2 linked regions of the Arabidopsis thaliana genome follow. The protein of the gene in region 2 interacts with the protein of the main gene of each other region in a biochemical or structural test. Each region holds a gene or a part of one and is shown on either strand. Other genes may lie near its edges. The genes, in order: AT3G11130 and AT3G16270.

Evidence for each region.
Region 1: the proteins of AT3G16270 (region 2) and AT3G11130 form a complex in vitro, tested with the Arabidopsis thaliana proteins (one study listed by BioGRID).

The regions. Positions count from the first base shown.
Region 1 is NC_003074.8:3,488,807-3,493,688, forward strand, and holds the start of AT3G11130 (Clathrin, heavy chain), read right to left. Parts: upstream 3,260-4,882; 5' UTR 2,862-3,259; coding exon 2,817-2,861; intron 2,482-2,816; coding exon 2,277-2,481; intron 1,738-2,276; coding exon 1,649-1,737; intron 1,549-1,648; coding exon 1,470-1,548; intron 1,392-1,469; coding exon 1,264-1,391; intron 1,165-1,263; coding exon 1,066-1,164; intron 984-1,065; coding exon 875-983; intron 789-874; coding exon 709-788; intron 624-708; coding exon 396-623; intron 310-395; coding exon 244-309; intron 1-243. Other genes in the region: AT3G11150 (2-oxoglutarate (2OG) and Fe(II)-dependent oxygenase superfamily protein), read right to left, coding at 4,180-4,509. UniProt on the Arabidopsis thaliana protein: Clathrin is the major protein of the polyhedral coat of coated pits and vesicles. Mediates endocytosis and is required for a correct polar distribution of PIN auxin transporters.
Region 2 is NC_003074.8:5,511,722-5,518,404, reverse strand, and holds AT3G16270 (ENTH/VHS family protein), read right to left. Parts: upstream 5,133-6,683; 5' UTR 5,034-5,132; exon of another isoform or gene 4,905-5,033; 5' UTR 4,705-4,904; coding exon 4,498-4,704; intron 4,215-4,497; coding exon 3,477-4,214; intron 3,305-3,476; coding exon 3,149-3,304; intron 3,059-3,148; coding exon 2,129-3,058; intron 1,907-2,128; coding exon 1,865-1,906; 3' UTR 1,723-1,864; exon of another isoform or gene 1,473-1,722; intron 1,140-1,472; 3' UTR 799-1,139; downstream 1-798. Other genes in the region: AT3G16280 (Integrase-type DNA-binding superfamily protein), read right to left, coding at 1-104; TRZ4 (tRNAse Z4), read right to left, coding at 5,287-5,634, 5,716-6,683. UniProt on the Arabidopsis thaliana protein: Mediates clathrin-dependent trafficking of vacuolar cargo from the trans-Golgi network (TGN). Promotes plant growth.

The sequences.
Region 1 (4,882 bases), 2.0 Mb from region 2:
TAGAATTTAAATCCAAGAGACAATTGTCTTCTAGGATATCATGTAACATTTAATTATTCTTTCATTTGCTTGAAAATGTCAAAAATGCACTTGTATATTGAAACGGAGGAAGCGTCAAATCTCGATTTCTAATTTTCTACATTATTGTTTCTATCAGAATGACCTTTTTCGTCAAATTGGCACAATAATGACTTCACCAAGAAAATAGATCCACACATCTGATCCAAGATAATTATCACATACCAGATTTTCTGCACCAGGGAGGTTTCCTCTTTTAGCAAGATTGACAGCAAGTTCCAAATTGTTCAACTGTAATATAAAGGCATAGATTTCTTAGCATGTCATGATGAATAGATAGATTATATAGAGAAGAACAAAGTAAAAGTTGAACATACTTGACCACTAATAAAAGGTATTATGGTGGCCTCATTTACTGTTGCCAAAAGAACTTGTCCTCGCCTATTAATGGCATAGAAACCCCCAACTGAGGAAGCTTCAGACGTTAAGAAAATTGGGTCCGGACTTATCCGATTTCTGTAGATAGCAGAAGCTGTCTCTAGATCATATACAAACAGCAGGCCAAGCTTGGTGATGACATAAATCAAGTTAAACTTGTGAGAGACCTGTTGGGAGAAAGAGAAGTCGGTGTCATGAATTTTTCACAAGAAACTTACTGAAGTTAATTGAACAGCTAATGCAACTACAAACCTGCATGGCCACAGGAAAATCATCAGCAAAATCTGGGGGGAAAAAGAGATCTGCCTGCTTTTTTGTAAATGATGGTTTCCCTGAAAAAAAGCCGCCCACCTTTAAACATCAGACTAATACCAACTAACAATAACCATGAAAATATAGAGCAGTAGTTTAAGCTAACCTGGTTGGGCACCAAGTTCAATAACATGCAGCTTTGATGTTATCTGCCCAGCATTAAAGCTCTTGCTTGCAAATGATATAAGAATCGAAGGATTCTCATTCCCAGGGACCTATCAATAATAATGTCGCTTGTCATACTACAGTTCAAGATCCGACCATGGAATGAAGTAGCAAAGGTATCACATAGTTTACCTTAAACTGAGCAAAAGATGCAGCATGTGCTTCAAGGGCCTGGCTCCGCTGTTGATCCACAGAGAAAAGCTGCATATTTCCTTTCACCAATTGTGGTCTCTACAGAGGATAATAATGACAAGATTCCGTCAAAAATATACAACATGACTGCCGTTATGATGTCTTAATTCAACCTAATACGTGGTGCAGGAACCCTACCTCAGGAGAGCCAGGGGCAATTCCAATCAAGACCAACCACTTCTCATTAGGAGAGCACTTATAGTTTATAATTTGATTGTTTGCCAAATTAGCCGTTCTATCAAACATCTTAACTGGCTCAGAATCACCTGGAAATATCGAAGCAAAAATGAGAAACAACATATACATGATATGAAGAAGCTGACAGTAAGTTAAAGATATAAAACCTTCAATTGACCAATGATACACAGAAGTTTGTGTGACCAGTCCCAGCATCTTAGGTGTGATCCACTTCCAAAAAGCAACCTATAATATCCAAAAAATTCAGACCAGTAAAATCAGAGTCTGTCTGAAGAGTACAACATGAAAGATAATCGGGTTACAATTTGTTTGCTTCAAAATTCACCTGCTCAGGCATCTGATGTGACTTCAACTTTGCCTTTGCTTCAATGTTAAATATCTGTAGATGATCCTGAGTAGTTCCTGGAACTTGAGCTATATACGATACGAATTTAAGAAAAAGTTAACAACAAATTAAGGAAGAAATAAGTAATAGCTTATACAAGGAAACATCCAGTACAAACCAAAATTTCTAGTTTAACTACACTAAGCTTGAGACACAACACTGCCACGAGAAATATAACACGTGTTGGAAAACAGAGAGCGCTATACTGATGTTTTCTACAGCATTAAACATGCTATCACCCCAAATCCAGAAAAAGAGTATAGGACTACAACATAAACTCGAAGAGTGTAGTTACACTTCCATACTACTTTAATAAAAATAGGTTTTCTATCAAGTGACGCATCACAACATGGACAGAGTCATTTAAACTTCAAATAAATCAAAACATCCTATCCGTAATAAATAGCATATGTACAGTTAACAAAATGAAGGAGAAGCTATCAATGGTAGTTCTGGAGAAAACTTTAATAGGAACCACTTATGGGTCTTATAACTGATCATACACTTCAAAAGGAGAATCTTATGGGTGTTATAAGTGATAATGCGATCGAAGGAAACAGTGTAATACCTTTTAAGGCAAGGATCCTCGAGTTTGGGTTCATAAGAGCAGAATCAGCAGTTATAGGCCTCCTTAAAGGCTGCATCGGCATATTCATATCGATAATTACAACACTGTTCTGCGGTGCCGTCTCTCGTACACATATGTACTTATCAGACTCCATAGTAACATTTGTAAAGGTGATGAACTGTTGACCGATCCCAACGCTCGGAAGCTGGAAAATTTCCAAAACAAAAGTAATCAATTGGCATAGTTCATTAACTTAGTTACAAGATCCGAGTAGATAAGCACATTGCGCAACACAATAACTTAAAACTAAGGACTATATACATTCAGATAACACAGATCTGAGCGTCCGCAGAGAAAATCTGATCAGAGAACTTGATCTCAACGATCGGGTAGAATTGAGAACAGAATGAAACTTGAATCAATCATATAACAGTGTGAGCAGAACCAAATCGATAGAAATCAGAGACTACAACTATAGAAACATGTTAATCGTCCAAAATTTTAGCTCGATTCCCGGAGATTTAAAAACAGAGAACTCACCGTTAGGACCTCCTTCATAATGATGGGCGCGTTAGCAGCCGCCATGTTTGACCTCAGATCGCGGCGAGAGAATCCGGGGCCAGAATCAGATCCACGGAAAGGACGGGACCGTCAACGGCCGAGCGATGCGAGAGAAACTAAGGAAGATTTGAAATCGCAGCCAGATCTGAGGCAAGTGAAGGAGAAAGGTGATGATGGTGGAGAGAGATTCGTTTTTTTCTTTTTGGAAAGTGAGAAATGACGAAATAGCGATCCAATCGGAGTCACTCGTCGAATATAAGGAGAGAAACCAAAGGAGAGACGACGTGCTACAAGTGCCTGAGCTGTACGATGTGCTTTTGCCAAAGTTACGGGTTCGGATAGTATTCGGGTCGAGTTTCAAACCGCGTAAATCGACGGGTCGGGTTTTGTCACGACACACACTACTTTTTGGGAATTTTATGCGTATGTTTTGAGCAATGGTCAATGACTCAATCATGGTTAAAAATTAAGATGAACACAAACGAGAACGAAGTTTGAAATAAATTTTCTAAATATGGAGATGAAACAAAAAAAAAAAAACTTTTTACCAAAAAAAAAAAAAGATATACGAAATTTTCTATTATATCTTATCAAAATTAGGGTATGAAGACCAAAATATTTAAATTTATGTCGATTTAAGTGTTGCATGAAAAAATCGTATAAGAAATTTACGTCGATTTAATTAGTGTTTAGTGAAGATTGTATTACTTATAATTTTAACTCGAATTAAATGATATAATCAATTTTGATGTATATAATTCATTCTCACAAGAAAATTAAAGAGCAACACCAATATGGATCACTAAATAAGTAAACATGTATACGTAGATTTGAAGTCATTCATTGATATTCTGCCTCAATGAGAGATTAAAAGCCAACACTGTATTTCCTCATTTTCAAAAACAGGATGCTATAAGCGTTTGTGTCACCTTCTAATTATAACAAATAATCAACATTGGAAAACAAAAGTTATGAAGTAGAATTTGGTTATGATCTCAAAAGACTCAGTTTTAAAGTACATCATCAAAGTCATAGATTCTTCTATATAAAATCTAGGAGTTGAGTTTAGTGTGATAGAGTCATTGGTGTAACCTAAAAGTTTGATTTTGAAATAGTGACAGTTTTGATATGAGTATATATGAAAAAATTAGTTGAATGATGGAGTGACTATCAAAATAGAACATTCTCTGAACTGAATCGAACAAAAACAAAAATATCTCAATGCTAAAATGCTAACAATCCGCTGAAAATCAAAAGATTTTATGGGGGAAAAAAAGTAACAACAAGAACTATAGTACCAATTCAACCCAAGAAAGAAACAAACAAATCAAACATCGGTTCGTCAATCTTTTAAAGATTTGATTCTGTATCTGTCAAGTGGATCCCTGAAGAAGAGACGTTCTTGGTACACTCTCCATGCGTACTCCTTGAAACTAAAAGGCCTAAATGCCCTTCTCTCATCACTTCTTGCTCCTCCATCTTCTTCCTCCTCCTCTGCATACTCTTCTTCTTTGTCGCCGTCACTGATCATATCCTTCAATGATGAAACCATACTGTCCATGGGAAGTGTAAGCATCAATGTCATTGTTACACACTTTACTGGACCATCTTTTTGTCCTGAACACAACACTGGTCGATATTTCACTCTTTTGACCTCTCCATTTCTCCAAACCTGCCAATTTTAAGTTGTTTGTTAGCTGTTCAAAAGTTGAAAACTATATTGTAGAAAGCTGTTAGGTTTTGACCTAAAAAAAAAAGAATTGTTGAATTCTATAGGACACTAAGTACAATTGCGATGTGATGTGTATAAGTATTTAAATATCGGAAATTTCCAAATTCTTATTTCTTTCCCAATGCCATAAATCTGTTTCAAACGAAAAGTGAAAACACATTCCCCGGTTATGCTCCACAATTGTTGTTGTTGTCAACAATAAATATCGGAAATATCCAAATTCTTGTTCTCTTTTTGAACGATGCGTTGGAAAACATTTATTTTGGATAATGTTTAAAATACATTAAAACAGCCAGTTAACGGTATAGTGGAA
Region 2 (6,683 bases):
TGGTCTGATGACGATGATGTTGGTGATGCAGAGCTGTTGAGTGACGTCATCTTTTGTACTCTCGTTTGATACTTACTTCTTCTTTTTGTGTGGATGTGAGACATGTATTTATAGACTGACTGCTAAAGTGCTAATGAGAGAGCTTTGATTCTGAGGTTTTTTTTTTTAATAAACTTTCTTTTAGTATAAAAACATAACACGTTTTTTTTCTGGTTTTTGGATGTGAGAATCAATAGTAATTATTACAACCGTCAATCGTACCAAATTAGACTCTTAAAACTGTATAGTATTTTTTTTATTTTTTTCCATATACATATGAGTAAATTGTGATTTTGATTTTACAACTGCATACTATTATTATTGTGTTCTTGTTTTTAGATTATTTTGATTGTTCTTTGTTTTGGGTGGAATTAGACTATTTCTTTCTTTTAATTTTTGTCAACAAGCATACTATTTCTTATTTCAAAGGCTAATTAATTTGGTGGAAATGTGTCAAACTATCAAAGAAAATAAATACTTAATTTGACTAATGAAATTAGACGCTCCATTTTAAGTGACATTTAGCCTACCCATCTTTCAATTATCATGAAGATTTTATAAAAATCCAAAAAAAAAAAAAATATATCTACACCTATTATATGTAATATACATTTGACCATATTGATAATTTTTTAAACGAAATAAAACTGAGGATGGATTTGCCAACAAAGAAGCATAAAAGATGCAGAGAATGTAAAAAGAAAAGATTTACAGAAGAGATCGTTTATTAACTTTCTAAAAAATAATCTCAATGTCTCCTTCGTTTCCTATTTGAGAGAGACTTGGAGAGTCTAAAGTTACTTCCATATGTCACTATCAATCTGCCCGTTGAGGTATTTTTATTCATTCTTTATTTTTATATTTACACAGTATGGGAACCTCAAAATCTTATTAATTGGATTTATGTAATGAGGATGTCACTCGTCATTTTCCCGTTACCACTTTTTAAAAAGATAAGAAAAGTAACTTCCACCATTTTTTTCAATCTTTACCGTTGGTAGAAAGTACACAAAAGATGCATTCTTATTAAACTTCAGGTAAGAAAATAAAGGGGCATCATTTCCTTTTTCTCTCATTAATCAAACTCTGAATAGTTTCACCTAAATAGATTGAGAAATTATTAGCTTTCTTTCTTTCTTATCGTATGAAAATATCTACACCAATGCAAACACTTGACCAATGGATGTATCCTAAAATAAGTAACGCCAATTTAAAATGAGCAAACCAGTATAACAGGCAATGCTGAGAATATGGACCAAGTTTAACGTGTGAGAAAAAAAAAGCTCATTGCAGCCACTTAGATTAGATCTACCTTATTTTATTAACTACTCCAAATTGTAACAGACATCACGATTAAACAAAATTATCCCTGGCTTTCGTTTTTCTCCATCAACAAAATTTTCTAATTAAGAAACGCAAAAACAACTGGACTTGACTTGAAGTCTTTAAACTATTCATATGCATTTCCTTTCTCAGTTTCATTTCCTTTCTTGTCTACGTTCGATACACAGACACAAGTCTCTTCAGATATAATATATAGCAACGGAACAAAATAAACACATCTAGTAACAAACAAAAAGCAACTCTACAACTACATGTTCATGCCAAGAACAATGGACTCCAAAGAAGAAGAAAAACCAAAGACAAAACGAGGAAACAGATAAAAGAAGCAAAAACCCTTACCATATGAATTATAAAGCTATCTCCATTTTCTCCTCAAGTCTATACAGCTCTCATAAATTAATGTTTTAGCTTCCTGCACCCTTGTGTCCACATCTCATGAAATAGCATTTAACACTGGAAGGCGGAATTTTGTAAGCAACCATCAAGATACTCTCTTTGTGTCGCGGGCTGATGTAAGATGATCCTGCATCACACAAACATTTATGTAGTTGCTCCATGAGTGTATGTACATCAAACGAAGGTTTTTTAACTATGCCACAAAAGTAGATCTAGTCTGACTATGTTTAGGTGGTTTTAATCGAGCTAGACATTATGTGTGTGAGATTTGATGTCACATGTACAAAGACAAATGGCAGATTGACCAAACTTTAGAATCAAAGATCAGGAGCAAGATGGCAAAACTTACAGAAATGAAATCGAAGGCTCTGGTATCTTCTTTTTTCGAACCATTCATTGTTGAGGTTGGAGCCTGATTACCAAAATTTGGCTGGAATATATCAGGGAGTGCGGACTGATTCCCTCCACTTGTACCCATAGAAAGAACATTTCCGCTACCCTGAGCGTTCAGATTGCCGAACTGCTGGAAGTTGGACATATTACCAAGGTACTGCTGCTGCTGAGCTAACAAGCTTGCCATGGCAGCGTAATTCAAAGGTTGGGATGCAAAAGCTGGATTCATCATCATCCCTTGAGGAAAATTGAATGGCATAACACCTCCAGGAAGCATTGTGTTTTGAATAAACCCAGGATTTTGTGAGCCAAGAATGCCTCCAACAGGATTTTCCGGTGCTTGGTGGCTGGTGGTGCTCGGCATTGCAAATAAATCCTGTGGAAGAGTGCTTGAAGACGAGCCTTTCTGATTTGAATTGTTTTCGTCAATGGAGAAACTTCCCATCAAATCATTAATGTTTTTTGCATCTTTTGGCTCTGCTTCAAGTTTTGCAGTTGACCCAAACATATCAAATAGATCAGGCACATGATTACCACCAACAGCAGCGGACTTTTCCCCGACAGTCATTCCAGAGAAGAGGTCATCTGCACTTTCTTTTTCTTCATTCGGATGAAATGAGACATCTGCAAAGGGGTCGTCATCAGTTTTCTTCTCGCTGCTACTCAGTCCAATGTCAGAGCTATCCCCAAACCAATCATCATCCATCAATGGACCTGCTGTCGCCACTGTACTGCCAGTATCTATAGCATTCAGATTGTTCAAAGTATCGTCTGAATCACCGGTGTCAATCAAGTCAGGTAAATCAACAGCAGCCTCTCGCTTCACAGTATTATCAGAGCTGCTCATCAACCCACTTGACTGTCCACCATTTAGAAGGCTCAGAACCTACACAACATCGGTATCTCGAGTTAACCAACAAATTAGCATAATGCCAAAAAAGAGTTTTGTGAATGGTTATAACAAGCAGAAGCTTACCTTGTTCGCCTTTTCTCGAAGGGAAGATTGTGGAGACTCTGCGCACCGCTGTATGGCATCCAAGTTTTCACTAAAATAGGTATGTACAATTGAAAAATTCTCATCTTCCTTCTTCCTCAAAATGGCCTCAAGGACACATAAAGCTTTCATCCGAACCTGCCAAACAGAAAAACACAGTTACTTTCAAAGTACAAAAGTGGGAAGATTAACGCTACAGAAGAAACAAGCCAGGGAAAAGAAAATACAGATGATATAATCAAGAAAAAAGTACATTAGTAGCATCAAACAGTTTCACAAGGAGGTGACTAGGAAATAATCATAAACATACCTGCCACATTGGAGAATGGAGCTTCCCGTCAAGAGCAATGCTTAAAGCAACAGCGTCCATTTTTGCAGCCTCTAAAATGAAAACATGAAGAGCATCACGAGTTGGCTGCAGGCGTACACCACCAGATGTAACAATGGTTTCCAGCAGCTTTTCCTCACGAGTTTTGCTCTCAACACGAACTGAAGCAGAACTTTCACTTGCTTCTCCGGAAGCGTGGCCCCAAGATCCACCAGTCGTGTTCTTAGACGTTCCGTAGTTACCATCCTTCCCCAGCTTAACTGGATCATATCTACTGAAGTTCTCATTTTCCATAGTTAATGATCTGTGGAGATTTGGACCTCTGTAGCTGCTGCTGCCATTCTCATTCTTCTTTGGCAAATGGCCTTGAGCAAAATTACTGATTCCTTGCTTTATAGATGCACTTCCAATACCCACCACCTCACTAAGGAACGATTTATTATCATTAGAGGGCACCTGAAAGTTAGTATTCCCGAATCCTTCAATGCGTCTGTTGATGCTTTCAGGAGCAGCTGGTTTAGTACCATTCTCTTCTGAGAATATAGCAGAAATTGTTTCATGAGCAGTTTCCCGTACAGCCTTATTAAGTGCATCTCCTTTTAAAGGATCTGGATGCCCCTTGTAATGGAATAGATTGCGCACTGCAACCGAATTCCTTTGCATTTCTCGTCTAAACTCTGAGCCAGACTTTCCCACAGCATACTTTATCAACCTAAGAGCCTGTATATACATATAATAACCAAAATCAGTATAACCAGTTCCTACAGAGCTTTTAGCCACAATAAGATCCATTCTACGTCTCCCTATAAACAAACTCTACGCTATAATCAAACACATAAAGCTTTCTCTTTGATCCATTCTAAGAAAAAACAAACATCTACCTACAATCTAAATCAATCCCGACATGCAAACATTTCAATCAAAATCTTCATGGAAAACAAATGTCTCACAAAGGAACAACATTTCACAATCAAAAACAGAAAACAAACGTAATTGAAAATACCTTCTGCTTAACAATGGGGCTTTTGTTATCAAGACGTTTCAAAATGAATTCAGAAAACTCCTTGACGATGCTGACATGAGAAGAACGAAGGAGGTCACAGATCTCTTCCAATTTGTACACAGGCGCAACTTTGTCCTCATCAGACGTAACCGCATCTATCATCCGCGACCTCCAATACGATTCCACAGCTCTCCTGCTCGTATCCATGGCGAATTCGAAACAAAACAACCCTAATTCCCAAAATCACAACTTTTTCGTCCTCACCAGTCAAAAAAGCTTCAAAGACAACAACTTTATGAAAGACCGATCCTCAAAACAATTAGATCAGTCAAAAAACCGATCCTTTAAGCTCCAATTCCAGCTCAAATTCACCAAACTAAAGATCACGATCGGGATCCAAATTTCCCCTATAAACCAATCAACGCGGAGGTAAAATTAGACCCTTGAGACAACACAATCATGCGTCAAGCGGAATCGAATCAATAACCTCGGAGAAATCAGCAGAGAACGGAGAAATTGAGAAGAAAAAAACTCACCGATTCGTATGTGACAGAGAAAGAAGGAAGCGGTCAATAAAGAGGAATGGTTGTGTGTTCTTCGGTGTCTTTCCTTATTTCCCAAAGTTCCGATTTTTTTTAATTTCTTTTTCACAATTCACATTATGCACATGAAACTGATTTATTTCCTCTGTCACACTCACAGGAAAAATCAATTAAATTGATATTATTTCTAAAGACAATACAACACAGTCAAAAACAGGGGACAAAACAGAACATTCTAATCTATATACTAATTGATGAAAAAGCTTGGGACTTTGTCACGTATTAAGCTATCATCATCAGTCTCTTCTTCTTCTTCTTCTTCTTCAACCACTTGGTTTCTGAATAGAGTTTTGAAGTAAGGTAAAATCTTTGGAAGCACATGTAAATCCGCCATGTTTATACTCATCATATCAAAGGCAATGCATGTATTGTGCATATGTGATTCGTCAATCACCGGGATCTTTGGGTATCTCTGGCTAAAATGTGTCAGTACGGTTCGGTATACACCTGCTGAAGATCCAACTTTGATTGCTTCTTTAGTTGTGCTATGGTTTTTAGCCACAGCTTCTTCTACCAACGCATCCTCAAACGTCGCCTGTTATAAGTTTGAAAAGATGGTAAATTTTAAGAATGAGATGTAAATGTTTTACACAGTTTTGCTTATATAGAAAAGCACCTCATGTATAAGAACTGTTGCTCCTTTTGAAGCTTCAACCATCTCAGGACAAGGCCTTGTGTCTCCCGAGTAAACCATTTTCCACCCCGGAATCTCATCTCCGGCAATGTTTTTTCTTTCTGCTGCTTTTAACGAAACCCCAAAGGCTTGAGGGCAATGCACAACAGGAAAGCTAATCAAATGCTCCAACCCCATTTCGCCGAGGACTTTTTTCAGTTTCTTCAAGAATGGTAAAGCTGAAGAATTGTCTGTCAGTGGGCTGCTCGGTCTTTTATATATACTCTGCATTAGACTTCCTTTACTGAACAAAGAACCCTCTGCATTGCCGCTACTGGTATTTTTCTCAGGGCGGCTGGTTTCTACAGAAGCCCAAGATGTTGTTGTGGTGTTCCTGCAGTCGAGAAACTCCATATCTAAATCCTCAAGTCTTTGATATGCATCGAGAAAGTTCTTAAGCGATCTCGGTCCAACCACAATTGCTGGCTCATGAGCCAATCCTTTCAAAAGCTCACGTCTGCGAGCAAGGATTCTTGCAAGACCCGTATGGTGATCAGCATGGATGTGAGAGATCCATATACATCTCAAGTTTCTGACTGCTTCATCAGCTCCTTCTAAACCATATCTTCGTTTAAGCTGGCCTAAGGTACCTTCCCCACAATCCAAGAGAATACTGCCTCTAGAGAATAGGTCGATGTAAATTGCCGTGACATTTCGGTATTTTGAGGGTTGGGAGGAACCAGTGCCCAAAAGAACTATCTCCATGTCGTCTCTTCTAATGTTTTCAAGACAGCTTGGAACAGTGCTTTCACCCAGCCATGGCTCTTCGATCATCATCTTGTTGTGTTGTCCATTCCATAACTGCTTGATTTCTTCGGTCTTACTGCTGATTTCAGGAATTTCTGAAAGAAGCTCATCCATCACTCGTAAAGCTGTTAATCGACTAGGGATACTAGATCTGTCTACCCCAA